Linked DNA regions of Arabidopsis thaliana. The protein of the gene in region 1 purifies or fractionates together with the protein of each later gene. This does not show direct contact. Each region holds a gene or a part of one and is shown on either strand. Other genes may lie near its edges.

Region 1 (5,509 bases):
AGCATAAGTATTCTTTCACCTTGTCATTTTTTTTTGGGATAAATTCTATCGGTAAAAACATACTGAAATACGCTAGAGTGGATTCTTTTCACTTGTCATAAAACCCAATAAAAATCATATTTATTATTTTATTATTATTTAAGTTCGTTTCTTAACATAATACATTACCACTATCTAATACCTCATATAAAATTAGATTTAAAATCCTATAAACACACACTAAATTCTGAAAGAAATAATGTTAGGTTGTTTAATTTCTTTTTTTTGTTTGTCAAATCAGATATATTGATATAAAACAAGGTTACAAAATATATAAACATTATAATACAATTATTATACGCAAATACAAAAATTTGATACAATTTTGATAAAGGAGTGAAAGTAACCCGACATTACAAGCAAATAGGCGTTGGTCATGATACATAAATATTTTTTAATTATAAGAAAATTACTATTATTTTAAAATCACAAATTTTAAACTGTATATTTTCTTAATTAGGCACTGATGAACAATTCGTGATACAATGTGGAAACATGTCTCAAATCGAAACCCTTATTTGATATGTTATTAAGATACCTGCTGGGGAGGTGCCTCATCCCAAAATAAACTAAATTAATTAACATTCATTTAGGTAGAAAAATTACTATAATGACATACTTAATCATATAATTATACTTTTCCTTCATACCACCAATAAAAGCAGATCGCTATCTAGCTCTTAGACAAGATAATAGCATAGCTTTTAATTTTGATAAAGCTGAATGGTCCTTGTAGATAAAGTTAAGAGAAGAATATGTTTTTTTTTTTACAAAGGCTTGTTTTCATTCATTCACATAAAAACAAGTACAAGAAGGAGTGATTCAAAGATCACAAAGTTTAAAACATAATTAAAGGAGGTATTCCCCAAAGCCAAAACATAATAGAGGCATTTCTCTAAGACACGAAAGGAAATGCATAGCATTCAAACCGACTCATATTAAATCATCTCTCATAAATGAAAAACTACTTCCACTTGAGACACTAAAGGACTCACCAATCAACATATTAAGAAAGTTACTGTTTCGTGGCTTGAAAATATGTAGAAAAGCTTCCAGGACGATGTCTCATTCATTAATTTTCTGATGATTCCAAATTCGTTTTCCGAACCACAACTTATGATTGCAAAAACCTAATGATTCGGCTTGAGTTGAGTCATGATGAGAATTTCTCCTGCTTAATTAAAATTCTGTTTTTAGGTATAAGAGATTCTATTCAGCAAAGATATTCAAGATGAGTAACAGATATTAAACATACCATGAACATTCACAAACCTGTGGGAATTAATATATGAACTTACCTAGCAAAAGCGAACATGTAATTTCTCATTTACATTTTCCCGTACTATGTAAAATTGAAACACATTTTCAAGTTTAAGGAAGATTATAATTTTGGAGTCGATGTAGTATCCCGAGAGCATACGAAACATATGTTGTATTTTCAAATTTGCGCCTCTCGATATTGAACTACAATAATGCATGTTAGATTCAAAGCAGCCTCGCTTTGGACCCTATAAAATGAGTTAATGCAAGCCATAATAATTTATCGATCGACATATTTACTAAACAAGCCAGAATGTGATCTCGATCTCAGCCTGTGTTAATCTTTTTGTAATTGAACATTCTGGACTAATGAACTCTTCACTATTGAAAAAAACAACAACACATAGATCATTTACACAAAGTCTCCCTTTACTAAATTTCAAGATTTGGTCCATTTATTCCAATGAGAAATATTCCAGATATTTTTTTTGGCTGTTGACTGTACGGATAGGCCCTTAATGGGCTTTTAATGGATTAAATTAGGCCCATGATACTTGAAAAATCTGAAAGGTGTTGTTGTGTTGTGTGTGACAGTCCAGTCGCGTCATCCGGAGACATCCATTTTCTCTGGTAGCTGTTTACTTCTTCTTCTTCTTCTTCTTCTTCTTCCTCCTCCTCTGTTCGTCAATCGCCGATCTCGTTGCTTCATTTTCCTGTGAGTATTTTCTCGATTCGACACATCTCATATCCGAATCTGCCATTTCTTCATTCAATTTTGTTTATTTGTTGGAACTTCGGATCTATATAGAGAATCGAGTTTTCTAGGGCTTACTCATTGTTTCGGGTATATGTAATGGCTGAGAATCTTCTCTGTTTGTATCAGTGAGATCGATTGGTACAAGTGTTCATCCAATGGTTGGAGGAGGAGTTATCCGGCAGCTTCTTAGAAGGAAACTTCATTCCCAATCAGTCGTGAGCTTTTTCCCTGTTACATCTTTTTGATTTTCTGCTGTAGCTTAGGATCTGTTTGAAGATAGAATCATATGATTTGTTTTGGTTCTGTCTACACCTTCATTGCTCTGAGAGATTGTCCTTGAAGAATTGTAACTGGAATTGTTGTGGCGTTGGAGATTTTGGGATATAAGAAACTTAGACTTATTGATTTGTGCTTCGAGAGTATGATTAATATTCGATTTCTTTTCAGAAAAAGTAGTCTTTTGATTTGTTGAGCATACACCTTCTTGTGTCTTGGCCTTTTTTTTTGTTTTCTTACTGTTGTTCTGTATTATCTACCACCATAGGCAACTCCGGTATTGTCATGGTTGTCTTCGAAGAAAGCGAATGAAGATGCTGGGTCTGCTGGTTTAAGAGCATTTGCTCTCATGGGTGCTGGTATTACCGGATTATTGAGTTTTTCTACTGTTGCATCTGCTGATGAGGCTGAACATGGTCTGGAGTGTCCTAACTACCCTTGGCCACATGAGGGCATTCTCAGCTCATATGACCATGCTTCGTGAGTGTTCAAGCTACAATTCAATCATCATAGTGAAATTGCAACACTAAAGTTGAAAATTAGAGAAATTTGAGACTGCTTTACTGACGGTTGATTTGTAATGAGCAGGATCCGTCGTGGTCACCAAGTTTATCAGCAAGTTTGTGCGTCTTGCCATTCGATGTCTCTGATCTCATACCGAGACTTGGTGGGTGTTGCCTACACAGAGGAAGAGGCGAAGGCCATGGCAGCTGAAATCGAGGTTGTTGATGGACCAAATGATGAGGGTGAGATGTTCACCCGACCTGGTAAACTCAGTGATCGGCTTCCTGAACCATACTCAAATGAATCGGCTGCTAGGTTCGCCAATGGAGGAGCGTATCCACCGGATCTAAGTCTTGTAACTAAGGTTTGGTGCTCTTTCTCTCCATTTGTATACAATTAGAAAATTCATCTACTATGATCTAAGCAATTTGGCTATTTTCTTCCAGGCACGTCACAATGGCCAAAATTATGTCTTTGCTCTGTTGACTGGTTATCGTGATCCTCCTGCTGGAATTTCGGTAAATTTCTCTCCTATTTTTGCTTTAGACTTGTTATTACAACTTCAAATTGTTGGAAGTTAGAAATAATCCTGTGACTAACGGGTACAGATCAGAGAGGGGCTACACTACAATCCTTATTTCCCTGGTGGAGCAATCGCTATGCCAAAAATGCTCAACGATGAAGCTGTGGAATATGAAGATGGAACTCCTGCAACAGAAGCACAGGTTAGTTTTCCTCTGCTTAAGAAAATAATTTGCAGACCATAAAGTTTTATCAGATTTGACCTTTCCTCTGAGTCAATTATATAATCTTTAATTTTTCTTTTTTTAAAAAACATGATGCAGATGGGTAAAGATGTTGTATCCTTCTTGTCCTGGGCAGCTGAACCAGAGATGGAAGAGAGGAAATTGGTAAGTTTCTTAGTTTCATATATTCCATGTTTTAAGCTGTCGTTTCCATATGTACGAGATTGCAATAGGAATATCAATCTGGATTCTGATTATTTGATTTTCAGATTCAGTTTGAGAAAATTGTTACCAAACTTAAACCGGCATAGTATAGATTGGTTTTGGATGTAGAAAAAGTATCGCCATTTTATCCGTGTTAAGATTTCCTTGGTTCTGTCTTCTGTATAGCGGGATGAACACACCTAGTTGCATAGTTGTGTTGAACACACCTAGTTGCATAGTTGTGTTGACCACACTACTGCTTGTTTCTTGAGGCTGCTAATCTCAGACCAAAACTATTATCAAACATGAACCGTATTGTTACTCTGTATTCAAAACCGTCATGTTGGTTCTAAACCGACCCAAAAAAACCCGCTATACCGAGAATCCAACTCTTTGTGCTTAGATATCTGTTAACGTTGGTTGTATGTGTGTGCAGATGGGGTTCAAATGGATATTCTTACTGTCTTTGGCTCTGCTTCAAGCTGCGTATTACAGGAGACTGAAATGGTCAGTACTCAAATCCCGTAAGCTTGTTCTCGACGTTGTTAACTAATCCCGTGAAGATCACCTTTTCTCTGGGTAATAATCATTAATCTTGAAAGGGATAAATGGTGAATCCCACTTTTTGTCTCAAAAGACATGTTTCTTTGTTTATTGTTTAGAAAGTCTAATGAGGCAAAGAAGTAAAGCTTTTTTAACCTCAAGTCACACATGATTTTGAGATTATATTATTTCTTTTTGGTTTGTTGTCTCCTAAACCGGACTCGGTTTGTCTTAATAAAAATGTGGTTTTACAATCTCTCTCCTATTTGTATATCACAAAACATGATTTTGTAACTATTAAAGTTAAAAAGTTAAAATCTGTGGTCTATTTCTGATAGACCAAAACTCCACAGAACAACCAATTTACCTCTGTTGCGAACTCGATTTTGTAAAACTTAGAAAAATGTAGGCAGGATTTAGACCCGTTAATGTAAAACCAGTTCCGTTAAGACATTACCAAACAAAATTGCACAATCCTACAGACAATGAAACAAACATGCAGGATCGGACAAAACCTCAAAATACAAGTCCACACTTTTAATTGTCCCTTGGAATCAATATTTATAAAAATGTAATGAGCTCAAATTTTTATAACCTATGAAAAGATCAAAATCTTGATTAAAAAGAAGAAAAAAACCAATCAAATCCTGGCAGGCTTCTGCAGAACAGCCGAGAGAAAAACCTCAGCATCAGTTTTCTCTCCAACAACCCATTTCAACTTCTTATACCCAAACCTCTCTATCAAACGCGTAAGAACTCTCTTCTTCTCATCATTACCGCAATAGAAATTGTCTAACTAGAACAATCCACCGGGTTTCAAGATCCGATCAAGATCAAACATCAAGAACTCTAGCTTCTCGGGTTTACTACTAACCGCTAAATCCAATCCGTTAGAAGCATGAATGAGATCAAAAACATTGTCATAGAACGGGAATCTCTAATCCAAACTCCCTCTGAACAACGGAAAAATCCCTCTTGTAGCTATGAATTCGCTGAAAGGAGCATCTATATTTAATGTAATACCGATAATATTCAGATTCTTTTCAGCCATTCTAGCAGCAAACGTGCCTGATCCGCTGCTAATATCGAATCCGATTCGGATTTTCCCATCGCCTAAACCCAAACATCATCTATCAGGAAATCAGTCTTCACTTTAACCTTAACAAACCTATCTTTCTCA
Region 2 (4,878 bases), on another chromosome or scaffold:
CAAATGAGGTAACAACCCATCAAGAAACCCTCTAGTGTGGTTCGGAGATATACACGCAGAGAGGAAAACAACTATGAACACCAATGTGACAAGACTGGAATCCAAATAAGTAACATTTCAGTAGTAGAAACACTAATAGATGATATTGTTTCTTAAGAAACAAAGCAGAAATACATGATCACAGAGCCAAAAAGCAGTAATAAGTTAGATCATTCCCACTTTCCCAGACACATTAACTCAATCCGTAGTACAGCAGCAACTAACAGAGAAAAGGAAAAGAGTGCAAGAGGAACGAGTGAATGTGAAAAATTGAAGGCTTACATAGCGTCTCGCATGGACCGGCGAATCTGGAAAACATCATTGTCCATGGGAGCAAGTGTAACGTGAAATCCCTAAAGCAACACCAATTAACCAGCATAATCATAATCAGTAGTAAAACCAAGCATAAGCAAAGAAAGAAGATACATCTAAACCTCAGATGATAAAACCTAGGACTTCAATCCAACTTTAAAATTTGATACACAAAGAAAGAAGCAATCTTCCACCGCAAAGATCAGAGCCTAGTGAGGAAGATTCTTCCTTACGAGATCAAGAAAACGTAACCTATGATTACGATGAAGAAACAATGTCGCACGTCTAAACTCACGCAAGCCAGGAGGATAAGTAAAATGAGAAATCTCTGAAAGAGATCTTGAAACCGAGAAGTAAAAGAAGATGAGAAAGCGAATTTAAGACGAAATTCCAAATAGAGTAAGTTCCTGAGCTGGAGTTTCTGCCAATCAGAGGTTTTTACTAGATATGCAATTATGCATGTTCATGCCAGTCTATTAAACTACCATTTTACCCTTGTATTTCTCTGTATTTTACATCATTAATGTTCTCTTCAGATATTAGCAATTTTTTGTTAGACACTTGACCGACCGACACTGAGAGTAACAACACCATTGAATCATATCATAATCCATTTACCGCACGGTCCAGCTCAAACCGGAAACAAAGCCAAATTTGATTTTGCCATCGGTATGAACTCAAGAAATACAGATAGCAATAACAGTGCAAAGGCTGAAGCATCTTTATTTGTAACAGAAGCAAACGAAAACGTTTCCTTAAGAATTAGGCAAAAGGCATTTTCGGATCAATATTCAGCGGTAGAGGCTCTCCGACCTCAGATTCTCTGCAATCTCTGTCTCCCACCTATCTCCATTCTCAAGAAGCTTCTCTTTGTCATACAGAAGTTCCTGCACACCAAAAAGAATCAGAATGTCATTTATCGAATAATACACATCTAACTTTAAGATCATGGGCAATCTTATGTCTTTCTGAATTGTTTATACAGACCTCATGTGTCTCGGTTGCAAACTCAAAGTTTGGTCCTTCCACGATTGCATCAACAGGGCAAGCTTCTTGGCAGAAACCACAATAGATGCATTTCGTCATGTCGATATCATACCTGTACAGCTCCGAACAATCACTACACTACGAAATATATAGAAGAACCATAGAGACAAGACAGTATTAAATAATATATATATGGTTAATAAACGGGAACTTAGAGGGTGACCTAGTGGTTCTGCGGCTTCCATCTTCCCGCTCCTCTGCCTCTATTGTGATTGCTTGAGCTGGACATACCTGATGAGCAAAAGACCAGTATCCATGAAAAATCACACTTTATGTCAATATTGTGCTGTGGTATGAATTCTCGAGTAGCATAGACTTCAAAAACTCACAGCTTCGCAGAGTTTGCAGGCAATGCAGCGTTCTTCCCCAGTTGGATACCTTCGAAGAGCGTGTTCACCACGGAAACGAGGGCTCAATGGACCCTTCTCAAAAGGATAATTGATCTGCACAAAAGATAAAACTTGAGAATCAGAATATTTTTCTTTCAGCCTAATTACTAGAGTCAAGGGAGACAGCCACTCACTGTAACTTTTGGATCAAAGAAGTACTTGAGGGTCAGTGACAAACCCCTGACCATTTCAGTGAGAAATAGGGTGTTCATGCTCCGTTCAAAGACTGTAAAAGTAAGAAACATCAGGAATCGCTAAGACTCGCAGAAGGAAGTAATCAGGAAGGAATGCTAAGAGAATAGAAAGGTTGAAAAGTGTCTGGATCAAATAGCTTACCAGTACTCCAGTCCTTGGAGATCTCTTTAGCAAGCTGCTCAGCTTCTTCATCATCTACATATTACCAGAGGCAAAGGATTAGTAACCTATATTCCTGAAAAGTCATAGCCTAAATTAACCAAGAGAACCCAAATGGAAGCAACAAAATTTATACCTTTGTTGCTTCCATAAGATATAGCACGGGACTGTAGCCCACAGAGATGAGATCCCTGTAAACCTTGCCCTGAAAAAGCCTATCAACAAAGACAAGGTAGATGTTAAATGCGAGAAGAATTCCATAGCATAGCCACCAAAAGAGCTATTGAAAGTAAAAGTTAACTACCACGACGCTCTCAGTTAAAGTATTTATATTTGCAGAGATTGAGATAACAACATTTAGGCGATACATTCTCTCTTCAAGGAAGAGTATATGATCTAAAGGAAAAATGAAGCTTCACGATTGATGTACCAACGCAATACAAAGAGATGCATAGAGGAACAATACCCAGGAAAAAAAAAGACAAAAACATGTATAGCAGCACCACTTGCACATGCCTAGAGCCGGCCGGGGCAGACAATACCAACTAGTGATTTCAAAAAACTTAGCAGCAATTCCAAATTTCTAGGAATATAAGCGATATAAAATGGAAGAGCCTACGAGATTCTTACGAGATGTCGAGCTCGGAGAGCACTGAACGACCTGCGAGCTAGTAGCGAAGCCATCGATAGAACTCAAAATATCAAATTAGGGTCTCTCTTCTTCGATGTGCCTGATGTGAGAGAAGAAAATCCGATTAGCTGAAAAGCTTAATCAAGCAAAAGAAGCATTGAACAAGAGAATGACCAACGAAAAGCCTAAAATTCCATCCGAACCTTAAACGCGATACTCAAAAAAGCAAAGCTTCTGCACGAACCCAGAGAAAGTTCGATCTCACAAGAACATTGACACGAATCCTTTGCTGGTGATTCACGGTCGTCGGAACAAAATTCGATCAGATGTCTCTTAATTTACAAATTGACCCTTCTGGTTAACTACTTACTCAGCTCATAACCGGGCAATCAAACCGGTTATATTTGGTATGACAGTCAATTCCTTCCAAGTTTCACACATTTCAGGATCCAGGTTCTCAAGACGTGGACCAAACTAGACCATTGCTGAAAAAAGTTAATACCTGATCAATGGTCACTAACCGGACCTAAAGTTCACAAAGTAGCCGAGATTGATCAATAAACCGGGAAAACCAAAGACTACACAAAATTTAGAGGAGATACAAAGTGTTTTGGTGACAATCTTCACCACCACTGGGGAGGAACTAACGGGGATAACTCTTTACAATGAAGAAGAAGAAAACTAGTTGAGATGTTATGGTGCTATGTAGAGAGTGTTGCCACAGTTAATGTGGGCTTGGTTTAGAGGATTCCATCTATCAAATACAATCCGACCGCCTCTACCCATTCTTCCTTGAAACCGAGCTCTTCCACTTCTTGCATCTGATGGAGGGATGATTCCCGCAGCAGCCAGTTTATCGGGGACCAATGCTTTCGTGAACAGCATAACTGGCTCATTAGGATTCTACACAGAAACAACATAAACAGTGAACGTAATTCTCTCTTTTTTATCTTGTCACCAGAATGTAGTAACCTAATAGTCTCAAATGTTTCAAATACAGAGGTTCTGAAGAATTACCAGTTTGTGGAGCCATCCAAGTCTTCTCGCCTCTTGCTTTATGCTCCCGGCTTGAGCTCGAGCGAGGTTTGAGTCGGTGAAACGACGATGAGGGGTAAAGGAAGGCCTTGTACATGTTTGGGTGGTGGTCGGGTCATCGGAGTCCATGAATTCATCTTCGCTTGAGCCAAATCTGTAAGCTGTAGAGAGTGGAAACCCAGCCAGAGCCAAACTATCTTCCAAAAGTTCGGTTTCATTCTGCAAACATATCAAAACCCCACAAAAAAAATCAGAGGAGATCGAAATGCACAACTCTTTCTGGTAACAAAAGAACACTCGATGCAGGTTGTAGAGGACTACCTTATATTTCAGTTGGATTCTCTGAAGGCTAACCTCACTCGCCATGAAATCCCTCTTTTTCTCTTCTCTCTATAAAGATAACATGTTTTTAATCAAGTTAATACCTATGGAGTCTGCAGGTATCTCTTAAGATATCAATAAAATTACATTCAAGTCACAAAATATAGATGTCATTTAGATTACCTTAATAAGAGCTTCTAGAATGGTCTTTGCTTGGTCAAGATTGCGCCTGACCTAATAATAACATATCCCAGAACAGAAGAGAAGAACGTTTGAGAATCCAGGAATTATTTTAAGAAGTTAAACACAGATTCAGGTCTTCCCTTACCTGTCGCAGCTTCTCAAATGACTGCGCATTGTTTTCTCTCTGCTGCATCTGAAGTGAGGTCAACTATTGTTAGTAAGTTATGGTGCATTTTCCATACTCACACATGTAAGATAAGGAAATTGATAAACCACAGACAACAAGACAGCCTACTCTTCTTGCGTGTAGTCTATGAGCTTTCTCCCGTGGCCTAAACACATTGTACGGATTGGTATCATTGACCGGTGGTGGAGGCTGTTCCAAACAAAAAACACAAGAGTAGCTAATTTTCAGTACATTTCAGAATAAATTCATTTCTTCCACATGTAAGATTGAGACCAGTCCAAATGATATACCTGTAAACGCCGCAAGATAGGCTTCTGCCATATTTCACGCTAAAAGAATACAAAAGTCGAAGTTACTTAATGTTTTAAGCCTATGCCCAA

Evidence for each region.
Region 2: the proteins of AT5G40810 (region 1) and AT1G16700 fractionate together in Arabidopsis thaliana (co-fractionation; one large-scale study listed by BioGRID). This does not show direct contact.

The regions. Positions count from the first base shown.
Region 1 is NC_003076.8:16,337,989-16,343,497, forward strand, and holds AT5G40810 (Cytochrome C1 family), read left to right. Parts: upstream 1-1,874; 5' UTR 1,875-2,014; intron 2,015-2,182; 5' UTR 2,183-2,211; coding exon 2,212-2,271; exon of another isoform or gene 2,272-2,600; coding exon 2,601-2,812; intron 2,813-2,920; coding exon 2,921-3,200; intron 3,201-3,282; coding exon 3,283-3,354; intron 3,355-3,444; coding exon 3,445-3,561; intron 3,562-3,681; coding exon 3,682-3,747; intron 3,748-4,222; coding exon 4,223-4,339; 3' UTR 4,340-4,939; downstream 4,940-5,509. UniProt on the Arabidopsis thaliana protein: Component of the ubiquinol-cytochrome c oxidoreductase, a multisubunit transmembrane complex that is part of the mitochondrial electron transport chain which drives oxidative phosphorylation.
Region 2 is NC_003070.9:5,707,959-5,712,836, reverse strand, and holds AT1G16700 (Alpha-helical ferredoxin), read right to left. Parts: upstream 3,214-4,878; 5' UTR 2,976-3,213; intron 2,873-2,975; 5' UTR 2,826-2,872; coding exon 2,772-2,825; intron 2,357-2,771; coding exon 2,278-2,356; intron 2,178-2,277; coding exon 2,124-2,177; intron 2,014-2,123; coding exon 1,922-2,013; intron 1,842-1,921; coding exon 1,728-1,841; intron 1,630-1,727; coding exon 1,562-1,629; intron 1,451-1,561; coding exon 1,339-1,450; intron 1,239-1,338; coding exon 1,143-1,238; 3' UTR 794-1,142; downstream 1-793. Other genes in the region: AT1G16705 (p300/CBP acetyltransferase-related protein-like protein), read right to left, coding at 322-368; AT1G16690 (Enhancer of polycomb-like transcription factor protein), read right to left, coding at 3,466-3,675, 3,790-4,026, 4,129-4,197, 4,312-4,362, 4,457-4,504, 4,607-4,687, 4,789-4,827. UniProt on the Arabidopsis thaliana protein: Core subunit of the mitochondrial membrane respiratory chain NADH dehydrogenase (Complex I) that is believed to belong to the minimal assembly required for catalysis. Complex I functions in the transfer of electrons from NADH to the respiratory chain.